3 linked regions of the Coturnix japonica genome follow. The protein of the gene in region 1 purifies or fractionates together with the protein of each later gene. This does not show direct contact. Links are inferred from orthologs where the notes say so. Each region holds a gene or a part of one and is shown in the gene's direction. Other genes may lie near its edges. The genes, in order: LSM14A, C1QBP and EIF4ENIF1.

Region 1 (3,649 bases):
CTTGTGAGTTAAAGGAATATAGGAACTCTAAAAAAATGTTGAGACTGATAATGGAAGGCAGCGCATCTTTTCACAAATTGCTTGAGTCTATTACTATTTATAAATAAAAACTCCAATTTAAAGTATTGCATTACACAACTGTTTCAGGCTTTTATATAGTATTGATGCACATGTTTCCTTTGGATTTGTAGTTTTCAGAATGTAGTGTTTAGTCACAAAATAAACCCCTTTCATTCTCAATTTTCAAATTAAATTAGTTTGAAATGTCCTTTCAGTTCTGTATTTTTATTTTTTTAAAAACAATCATTGGATCCAGACTTTTGGAGTGGGCTGACAGGGAACCACAAGGTCATGTTTTCTTTCTGAAAAGTGGTTCTGCCCTGCCTGTGAGCAGTTGTATCATGTAATCATGGCTGGGTTTTGTTTATCTCATATGTTGCAGTGTTAAGAAAGTAGTTGTTATCTTTCAAGCTGGTAATACGTATCTTTCTATTTCAAGACACTGACTTAGAAAGAGATTTTTAACGTAGGTAAGTAAGCTATGTAAGAACAACCAGGCTTTGTTCCCTGACAGCTGGGTAACTGGGGAATCCTTAGGGATGTGAATATGATGAAATGAGATGCTATCTTCCTGCTGTAATGCATCAGTTTTCACTTATCAGCTACTGGGACTTTGTATGGAGTTGCGTTGGGCCATTATAATTAATAGATACTAAATTCATGCTTCATTAATAAGCAGTTAGTATTCCGGTGTTTTCAGCTGGCTGTGATAGTATTATCCATAGTTTGATGACACGTGCAAGAGCAAACTGTGCTTTGCAAAATGTAGAAGAGTGAGAGGAAATGAAAATAAGTGCATTAAAAATGTCATCTTGTAAGATTTAAACGGACTGGTAAATCCATTCAAAAAAGCAGTCATATATTGAAACTTATTTTGACTAACTTCAACATTACTACTACATAGCATACTTTAATACGTCTTACTGTATTATTGCTACTTCATTATCCAATGTGATCATTGTAACTTCCCCTGTCAGTCAGCAGAAAATCCAACACCTGAAAAAATACTTCACTAATGAATTTGTGTATTCTACTTGCAAAAAAGGGCTCTGTTCTTCTGCAAAGTGAATTATTGCAAACATGTAATTAATCAGTCTTTGCATACAGCACTCAGACAGTCTTACCAGCCTTACTTTGTGTGTATCATGTAAATACTGAAGTCAGCCTTTCTTCTCTTTTAAGGGGTCTGTGGTATGTTTGATGACCGATGGAAGGCTATCATTACCAGAACAAGTCATTGCAATTATCTCTACCCAAAATTTCACCAGTTTTTCTCTGTAGCATACTTGGATGGCTGCACACCATTAATGCAGTAAGATTAATGTGAAGGAGTCAGCTTATAGTGGGCTCATACCCATTGGAACATTAACTCAGTCTGCATTCTTGTACTCATAGGAGCATTAACAGGGAGACAAGATATGGGGGAGGTAGCCATGAGTGGGTTTCATTTTGCACACACAGTTGATCTTGGCACAGATAAACCTCATAACGTGTGTGCAGTTTGTTCCTTAACTGACCCTGAAAAACAACTTCTTAAAAACTTAATAAAATCTACCCCTTTCCTTTTCTGTGCTCTCCTGTACTAAAGGAAATGCTCAGGTCTTTGCAGGAGTTTAAGCTTTTACTGGCTTCGTTTAGCAAATTAATATTTGTAGAAGTCTAAAAGAATCATAGAATTGCTCAGGTTGGAAAAGACCTTAAAGTTCATCAAGTCCAACTGCAACCTAACCATAATACCCCAACTAGCAACTCAGCTAAATTGTGATCCTGAGCACCACATCCGAAGGTTTTTAAGCACATTCAGGGACGGTGACTCAACTACCTCCCTGGGGAGCCTATTTCAGTGCTTAACAACCCTTTCAGTAAGTAAGGTTTTCCTGATACCCAACCTAAACACTCCCCCCCCCCCCCCCCTGCATCTGTCTTTTGACAGCTTGTAAACACTGTAGTAGTGTTCAGAGCAGGCTTCCAGTTGTGTAGGAATAGGGAAGTTCAGTGTAGTAGATATGAGTATCAGCTAGTAGTTAGAACCATTTAGTGTTGTTTCTCACTAGTTTGTTACAGTGCAAAAAAGGTTCTTAAAAAGCTAATACAAAGAGCTGCAAGGAATTACTGCAGCTGCTGCATGTTGATGCTCAGTAGAATTTGATTGATGCTTTATTCTTAATTTCTTTCAATTCACTGATTACTTTTTGCTTATGAAGCTCCAGCTTTTGTAGACACGTCTTTTGTTCCATGTTGTTTTCAGCAAGGATTGTCACACAAGGTGTGGAAGGGCCTTGAAGAAAGTAGCAATGTGATGCTCTATTCACGTATGCATGTGGTGTTTAGTGGGAAGGGAAAAGCATGATGAGCATCATTACATAATCTGGACGTTGTTGGAAGTCAGCTAAGTACATATAAATATATGTAACTTGTCAGTATGCTGCACACTGCATTGTTACGCTTAGGAAGATAATCCTGCCAAATTAAGTTAACTTAATTTGCTGAAAATCATGTGAAATTTACACCAACAAGCAAAATACCTTCTGCTTCGTGAAAATTGTCTACACATACTACAGACAGCCTAACTTTGACTTGAAATATTCATTCAGATCTTGAATCTACTGAGAAAAAGTTTGCTTTTGGTCATCTTTCATATCTTCATTTCTGGTATTTCTGGCATGATTTTTTTATTATTATTTTTTTTCCCAGTTTGTAAATACGTAACATGAAGTACAAACTCATATAGTCCTTAATTTACGGGACTGGTTTACCAGCCTTTGTTGCTACATGGCATCTCTGCTGATAAAATTAATGTCCAGAGAGTGGTAACACAAGCAAAAACCACTTTGTTGCTTCCCCTCGGTTTCACTAAGCAGTGGAAATATTCAGCCCATGGCCGTGCAACCTGTGCTTTAGTAAAGAACCAAAGAGGCACCTTTCTGCTTCAATTTGAACTGAGATTTGCAAGATCAAATTCCTTGTTTATGTCTGAGTAGTTAATAAAGTTAGAAAAGAGTATGCTGCCTATATAAGTGTTGTGCTCAATAAAATCTTACTCTTTCTATTTAAAATTGGTGGTCTCTGCGGTATATTTGAAATGTTAATTAAATGCGGGATGGTTTCCATTTTTGCAGTTCGTTCCTTTGGTACAGAAGATAGACCAACGGACAGACCTATACCGCCTCGAGATGAAGTCTTTGAGTATATTATATTCCGTGGTAGTGATATTAAAGACTTAACTGTCTGTGAGCCACCAAAGCCTCAGTGCTCTTTGCCGCAGGACCCTGCTATTGTTCAGGTAAGTCAAAATATATTTTATGCATTTGATGCTTAAGATATAACATAGCAGATTTGAGTGCTCTCTAGCTGAGAGTGCTTAAAAAATCAGATCTTTGTTGAAGTTCACAAACCAGTGTAAAGAACCATTAAATGATTTTTTTTCCTCTTCTGAATCATGTTCTTAACTATGGTAAAATCAGGGTTGAAGTCTATCTCTAGCACAGCTCACTGGACACAGAAGTTAACACATTTGTAATGACTAGCTGGTTGATAAGGCAAAAATCTTCATTATTCCTTGCAGATTACACCTGCGGTCCTCTGAGAT
Region 2 (4,047 bases), on another chromosome or scaffold:
TTAGGACATAACCTTGCCTGCTCTCAGCAGCCCATTGCAGGGGGCTGTTCCCCCACTGGTGTGCACACACTTGTTCTTCAGCATGAGAACACTGTGGGAACAGCTGCCCACCTTCAGACAAGCGCAGGTTGATACAATTGGAACAAATAACAAATGGCAGTGAGTGTTGTGTTGCATTGCAGTGATGCAGAGATGCAGACACCTGCTGCTGTGGCCTCCAGCTCATCCAGGCCCCTGATGATGGAGGGTGTGTAGGATGGGCTCAGTGCCATTGGAGCTTTAGGAGTGTGCCGGGTTTCCCTGCAGGGCATGGATCCAACCCAGGCACAGCCCGTCTCTGCCTTCACACAAGCAGGAGGGATTCTTAGAGCCTGCAAGTGGAGCTGGGGCAGTGCTTCAGTGCTGTAGGGCTTATGGTCCCTGTCTTATGGATTGAGGCTGTCAAAGGGAGTGCAGGGAAGTGCTCTGTGCTTCCTGGCTCAGCTGTGCTCGCAGTGTTAGATGTGTTGGGATGCCCGTGTCTGTGCTGCACGCTGTGACCTGCTGCCTCGTGTCTGTGTCCCTGCAGTTATCGCTGCCCATGGAGTCGTCCCGCTCCGACACCTCCAACATCCGCCGCTGTTTGGCTCACAGCCTCTTCATGAACGCGGCCGAGCTGCAGCCGGACGGCACCTACAGCACCGTCAGCTCCCACCAGCCCGTGGCCATCCACCCCTCGTCCGTGCTGTTCCACTGCAAACCCTGCTGCGTGGTTTACAACGGGCTGCTGCACACCAACAAGTGCTACATGCGGGACCTGTGCGTGGTGGACGCGGACTGGTTGTATGATGCAGCACCTGACTATTTCCGCAGGAAACTCAGAGCAGCCAAGAACTGAGTGGGGCTGCAGGGCTCAATACAGGGCTCAGTGCAGGGCTCAGTGCAGGGCTCAATGCAGGGCTCGGTGCAGGGCTCAATGCAGGGCTCAGTGCAGGGCTCAGTGCAGGGCTGGGCTGTGATCTGTGCAGGGACAGCGGGGTTTTGCATCGCAAACAGGTGTAAAACTGGGAGGAAAATGGCTTCTCTGTGAGAGGCAGCACTCATGGCAACCTGTGGCTTTGAACCATCGTGGTGTTAAGAGCTGCTGTGTAAAACGGGACCTGCTTTGTGCTGGTGTTTAACATTGAGCTGTAATGGATGGGGCTGGAAGGAAACGAGCCCAGCAGCTCCTGCAGCAAACTCTCTATTTGTTGATGGTTCAGTTTGTGTTCCGGGCAGGTTTTACCGATGGAAAATAAAGACAAATAAATAAATTTCTACATACAAGGAGCAAAATCAAAGTGCTGTTTCACTGTCAGAATGGAGGTGCCTCATCTGTCCGCTCGGAGCGCTGCTCAGCGCGGCTCCCCCCGCCCGGCTCCTCCTTTGGAACCTTCTGGTCTCTCCCCCAAGGTCACTCCGCGTTGTATCTCGTTCCCTCCCCTTATTACCGGGGGCGGAGCTCCGGAAGCGCCCCGATCCCGTCCGGGTCATTCTCCTCCTCCTCGTCCCGTTTCTCGCCATGCTGCTCGCTCGAGCCCTTCGTTCCGCCGCCTCGTTCCGCCCCGCTCTGTCCCCGCTCCGCTCGCTCTGGTCCGTCCCGCAGCCGCTCCCGGCTCGTTCCCTGTGGCAGCGGAGCGATGTTGTTGTTGGCTGGAGGGCGGCGCTGCTCAGACCGCGCCGGGGAACTGCGGGCGGCGTGTCCTGCGGCTGCGGCGGGCTGCACACGGAGGGTGAGTCGGGACGGAGCCGCACGTGGTGATGGAGGTGGGGGTGGATGCGGGGGGTGGTGCCGGTGCTGAGCGGTTTCTCTCTCCCCGCAGGGGACAAAGCGTTCGCTCAGTTCCTGACGGATGAGATCCAGGAGGAGCGGAAGATCCAGAAGCACAAAGCGCTGCCCAAAGTGTCGGGCGGGTGGGAGCTGGAGGTGCACGGCACCGAGGCGAGGCTGGTGCGCAAAGTCGCCGGGGAAAAGTGAGCAATGAAATAACGAACGGGAGCGATGCGAGCGGGGCCTTCCCGGCTGTGATGGTTTAACTCGTGTCCTTTGTGCAGGATCACGGTTACCTTCAACATCAACAACAGCATCCCGCCCGCTGTGGATGAGGACGCGCCGGAGGAGCAGAAACACGAGGAGCAGGAGGAGGTGAGCACAGCACAGAGCCAGGGGACCACAAAGGGCCGCCGTGTGCTCAGTCTGATTTTGGGAGTGGGAACACACAGAGCAGGACGGCCCTGGGAGACCCCCATGGACCATCCCACCCCCTGCTGAGCACTGCGGGCACCTCGTGGCTGTGCTGGCTCCTGCTCAGCCCTCAGCACTGATCGGCTGCTTCTCTCCTTCAGCCCGATATCACATCGACTCCAAACTTTGTTGTGGAAGTCATTAAGGATGATACAAAGCAGACCCTCGTGCTTGACTGCCATTACCCCGAGGATGAGGTGAGCTGTGCTCTGGGTTCCTGTGTCTGCACAAAATGCTGCCTCCTTCTTTTCTCCTCACACAGGTTTTATCTCTGTAAGGAAACTGATGGGATGGGTTTCTTTCTGCTCATGTCCTGACCTTCTGATCAGCTCAATGTGTGGCATTAAGGGGGTTGTGTTCCCACCTGCAGGATGAAGCAGCTGATGGTTCCCTCTAATTACAGCTAATACATCCTGTGCCTCATTTCCTATTTCAGGTTGGCCACGAGGGAGAGGAAGAAAGTGACATCTTCACCATTAGGGAGGTCAGCTTCCAGCCCACCGGGGAATCAGATTGGAAGGACACCAACTACACCCTCAATACGGATTCCCTCGACTGGGTAAGTGCTGCTGATTTACATTGTACTCCTATTCCATCATGAATCATTTGCTCACCCTGTTGGAGGTGATATGGCAGCTATTGGCACCAAGCAGGAGCACCAGCTCTATGAGGAACAAGGGGGGAGCCCACAAGCCTAATTGTATTGCAGTAGTTAAGTAGGATTTGAAGCTGTGCTCTGCTAAGGCTGTTTTCTGTTCCTTGTTGCAGGCTCTGTATGATCACTTAATGGATTTCCTGGCTGACCGAGGAGTGGATAACACGTTTGCTGATGAGTTAATTGAGCTCAGCACTGCGCTGGAGCATCAGGAGTACATTAAATTCCTTGAAGACCTTAAAAGCTTTGTTAAATGTCAGTAGGGAAGGAAAGCAGCGTTCAGTGTGGGCATTACACAGCAGTGCTCCACCAGCAGAACCACAACGTATCTTCACAACAGAGATGGAGTAACTGAATTGGGAATTGAGCATCACGGGACAGTGAGGGGCCTCACTTGTATTTATGCTACGTTGCAGCCCAGCTCAGGTTCTCAAACAGGACTGTCTGGACCTGCCTCCCCCTGCTGCATTTTGTACCATTAGGAATGAAGGTGAATAATAAAATGTGTTCAAAACTCCCTGAAAAGTAGTTGTTTTTTTCTTCATGTTGATCAGTTGCCATAAGGGATATCTGTGTGTTCCCTGACCTGAGAAGTTAATGCAGCTGCCTGCAGAGCTGGGCAGTGTTAGGCCAGTTTTTCTCCAGGGCTATTCTAGCCCAATCTAGTCCATCTGTACCTGTTAGTATCAACGCATCTGCTCTAGAAAAATACTGCAGACAAGTTGGAGCTCTTTCCTTGCAGTAATTCAAGTCCTGTGGATGCTGAACATCAGCAGCATTGCAGAGCAGCAGATTTGGGCTTCTACTCAACCTGCTGCGTCCAGGTGATGCCTCAAGGTCTGAGTCAGCCCCAGTGGCAGAGCAGGAGATGCTCCCGCACCATGCAGCCATGCATTAAAGAGCTGCCTCTTATTTCAGCTTGAAGGCAGCCAAGGACAGAACAACGAGAAGAGGCAGAATACTTTGTGACTATTGATCAACCTCCCTGTTGATTCCAGGGCAATACTTAATAGTCCTGAGTGTAGTGGGTAAGATTGTAAGGAGGAACCTGCTTTTAGAACAGAAGGATACATTAAAAACACTGTCATGGACCTGAAGTTAAACACGAAGTCCAAAGCAAGCTGTGAAA
Region 3 (3,649 bases), on another chromosome or scaffold:
CTTGGAACCTGGAGCCCCTTTACTGGGACAGAGGGCGCCCTCTCCCCCTATCCCACCTGTGTTTCCAACTCGAGCTGCTTCTGCAGATTACCTGCGCCATAGAATATCTTCACCTATTGGTATGGCTTGTTGCAAAACAGTGTTTCTTTTGGCTTATTTGAATGAGTACACTCTCTTTTAAAGAACGCTTCATAGAACAGTAAGCTTACTGACGGTAGGCAGTGGTAGGACAGTGTTTGCCTCTTGACTGTGTACAACATATCATCCTTGTTGGTCTCTGTTTAATCACAAAAATGTACAAGTCAGCATCAGCTGGAACTCAGAGTAAATTCTGCTGGTGCATTGAAATGTGGTCTACTACATAAGAAGCTAATTTGCATCTGGGTAAGGGTTTATTCTCTTTATAGCAGCTGGCACGGTGCTGGGTTCTAGATATCTAACAAGCTGATAGAATGCTGCTGTAGCTACTGCCGAACAGTGCTTGCGCAGTGTTGAGGCCTTGTCTGTTTCACATTCTGCAGCCCCAGTGATTAGACTGAGGGGCACAGCTAGGCAGATGACCTGAATTAACCGAAGAGTTGCTCCGTGCCATGAAATGCTTAGCAATAAAAAGGAAGAGGAGTGGGTTTAGGAAGGAGGTTATCTTTTGCTTGGGAACTGACTAAATGGGAAGCTGAGAATCTTCACGGGGAATCCTTAATTCAGGTCTAAATGGTTTACTTAAAGTTATATGTCATATACTGGAAGGAAAAGTGTTAGATGCAACTGTTTAATGTTTTTCATTAGGTTTTGGACAAGGTTCTCAGCAATTGCTTGGTGATCCATTTCCAGGTGTGAGGAAGCCCATGAGCCCAGTTGCTGCACAGGTTAGACTTAAGTGCTTTTTGCTTACACGTTAAATTTGCTTAATCTTTCTCCTTGTATTTTGGAGTCCAGAAAAAAACTTGTGGAAGTGTATTGAGTAAACATGTATTACATGCTTGTTCCAGTTAACTCTAAATATGAGAATGTGGCGTCTAATTTAGTACAGTCTCAAAACCTCATTAGACCCGTCTTATGGTATGTTAAGAGCTATTAAGCATCTATTGTCCCTCAGTAAAATAGAGGGCTGTTGGTGGGCAGATGCTTTGTGAAGACACAGCAGTAAATCTTTGTCTTTTTAAAAAGACCTTTGATTTGTGCTGTTTTCTTTTCCAACACAACTCCACTTCAGATGAGTTCCCTGGAAATACAACAAGCTGCATTAGAGGGACTAGCGTTGCCACATGACTTAGCCATACAGGCAGCAAACTTCTATCAGCATGGCTTTGGTAAACCACAGATGGACAAAAACAGAGATGGCTATAGAAACAGGTAGGTATCTGACTGCAAAACATAAAAGGCATATTGTCAATTGTTTTTCACTTGGGTTTTTTCTTTCAGAAAATATTGGTACTATTGTGACTTAAGCTTGCATCATTTATTGGCAATCTTGACTTTTATTCTGAGCCATGAGTAGAACTAACTTCCTGTCCTTCAACAGACAACAGCGAGTGACTAAATCACCTGCACCGGGACACAGAGGGAATACATCTTCTCCAGCCCCTACAGCATCCATTACTAGCATGGTCAGTACCCCTAATACATAATGACTGTAGAGAGAGCTGTAAAGGTAGCAGCAGTAACAAGATCATAGCAACTATTGTCAGCTGAAGGATGTAAAGAGGAGTTGATTGAATCATAAGGGCAATACTGTAATGTCAGTACAAGGATTAATTGCACCTGATGCTTAACTGATTGTCTTCACTTTGAAAAATAGCCTTTTCCAATTAGTGTGTTACCCAAAACTGAGAAAGCCCCATCAGTGTTTCCTTGACCCAGTCTTCTCAAACAAAAGGAAGATAACTATATGGAAAGAGCAGGCCCTTGTATTTTGATGCCCAGGCTTCCAAGAAACAAGGGTTGAAAGTTGCTGGGCACTGTAGAAAACACTAGTCTACAGCACAGGTATGAAATGACACATCTAAATGTCTGAAAGCTGAAATACATTTTTGAAAAACAAAAGCCTCAAATATGACTGCTGCCTCCCCATCTTCAGTAGTATTTTGCTTTGATCTAAGCTTTCCAATTAATCAGTCAAGTGCTTGCAGTTCAGGGCCAGTATAAGTTGTCAGCTGCTAAACAGATGCAAGAACTTTGTATATGTAACAAATAAGTGGCTTCCACAAATGCTATAACTTGTGATGGGAAGAAATACAGTTAAGGCAATTTTCTGTAGATTTGTTATCCATGAGTTAATACAAGTAAGGTTTCAACTAGCTCCATAAGAACCAAAGATCAAAAACTGTGACAAAAAGGGAGAAGAGCTACAGAATGAAGTGATGAAATATTGTGAACCAAAGTAATCGGTGAATTAAGTAACTGATCAAACAGAGCTTCAAATGGAAAGAGTGTACTAGAATTGGTGTCTACCCACAACTAAGGTAGTGTGGCTCTCTGGTAATTAGCACTAACTACTTTTTATTGTGTTTTCTGCAGCTGTCTCCTTCCTTTACACCTACCTCAGTGATTCGCAAGATGTATGAGAGTAAGGAGAAGAGCAAAGAGGAGCCAGTTTCTGGGAAACTGAAAGTCAGTGATGGTAAAGATGAAAATCAGAGGCCAAATGAAGGTATTGTAATGGCTTTAACCTAACATACGTGAGACTCGGAATAGAGTTGAACAGCTATAACACATATGTCCAGGCTGACTTAAGATACCTCTGATTAATGGAGTGCAGACAAGTGTAAAAAATGGATCTATAAGAAGGGTTAGAGAGCTATGAAGTAGGTACACACCTGAGTGTACTATTCCAGCAGTGTTGGGTTCAGACCTATATTGTTCTTGTTTGTAAATGGTACTGACCATAGGAGGCCTGAACAAAAAGTGCTTATTTACAGCTTTTTTTTTTATGAATAAACATATTAACAATAATAACTGCATACAATACTGGCAATAATAAAAGCAACTTATAGCCCTCCTGCAACATCTTAACTGAACAATTAAAGCTGAGACCAGTTAACCTCTTCTAAATGTAGCTGGTTAAGGAAGTGTTTTGTCACCTTAACTGACATAAGTGGCTATTAAGAAGAAATGCTTAATACCGATTTACCCAGTAAGACTTGTTCAGTTGTACTTCAATACTATTAATAACAGAGAGGTAGCTTACAGTCATTCAGGAAAGCCAGAAGTCTCCTATTAAATACATAAATATGAGTAAAGTTCAGCTATTCCTGGAACTTAGCCATTAAAAGTCATTACCTTTAATTTTCATTAGATGTAATCTTTAGCTGTGGACTATAATAGTTGTATTCAATTCTAGCTACAGATAATCTACTGTCTAGTTCTGTGGAGAATGCAGATCAAGAAACTTTGCCCACCTTAGGTACCAAACTACCTGCACTGCAGCGCTCTGCATGTTCCACGCCTCTTACTCAAGCAAATCGTTGCACCAAAGAGCAAGACTACAGGCCTAAATCAGCGGGCAGAAAGACTCCTACAATGGCCTCCCCAGTGCCAGGAGGCCCTTTCCTCCGTCCTGTTCATCAAGTACCCCTTGTTCCCCACGTACCAATTGTGCGACCTGCTCATCAACTGCATCCAGGACTGGTCCAGAGAATGCTGTCACAGG

The links.
Region 2: the proteins of LSM14A (region 1) and C1QBP purify together in Homo sapiens (affinity purification with mass spectrometry; 3 studies listed by BioGRID and IntAct, with this or other methods). This does not show direct contact. The link is inferred for Coturnix japonica from reciprocal best matches to the Homo sapiens genes LSM14A and C1QBP.
Region 3: the proteins of LSM14A (region 1) and EIF4ENIF1 purify together in Homo sapiens (affinity purification with mass spectrometry; 3 studies listed by BioGRID and IntAct, with this or other methods). This does not show direct contact. The link is inferred for Coturnix japonica from reciprocal best matches to the Homo sapiens genes LSM14A and EIF4ENIF1.

The regions. Positions count from the first base shown.
Region 1 is NC_029526.1:9,453,727-9,457,375, forward strand, and holds part of LSM14A (protein LSM14 homolog A), read left to right. Parts: intron 1-3,144; exon of another isoform or gene 3,145-3,160; coding exon of another isoform or gene 3,161-3,179; coding exon 3,180-3,343; intron 3,344-3,649. UniProt on the Homo sapiens protein: Essential for formation of P-bodies, cytoplasmic structures that provide storage sites for translationally inactive mRNAs and protect them from degradation. Acts as a repressor of mRNA translation. May play a role in mitotic spindle assembly.
Region 2 is NC_029534.1:2,454,132-2,458,178, forward strand, and holds C1QBP (complement component 1 Q subcomponent-binding protein, mitochondrial), read left to right. Parts: upstream 1-1,492; 5' UTR 1,493-1,540; coding exon 1,541-1,751; intron 1,752-1,841; coding exon 1,842-1,992; intron 1,993-2,073; coding exon 2,074-2,164; intron 2,165-2,364; coding exon 2,365-2,460; intron 2,461-2,699; coding exon 2,700-2,822; intron 2,823-3,031; coding exon 3,032-3,181; 3' UTR 3,182-3,443; downstream 3,444-4,047. Other genes in the region: ATP-dependent RNA helicase DHX33, read left to right, coding at 569-877.
Region 3 is NC_029530.1:7,960,391-7,964,039, forward strand, and holds part of EIF4ENIF1 (eukaryotic translation initiation factor 4E transporter), read left to right. Parts: coding exon 1-119; intron 120-786; coding exon 787-866; intron 867-1,213; coding exon 1,214-1,353; intron 1,354-1,522; coding exon 1,523-1,607; intron 1,608-2,517; coding exon 2,518-2,650; intron 2,651-3,340; coding exon 3,341-3,649. UniProt on the Homo sapiens protein: EIF4E-binding protein that regulates translation and stability of mRNAs in processing bodies (P-bodies). Plays a key role in P-bodies to coordinate the storage of translationally inactive mRNAs in the cytoplasm and prevent their degradation.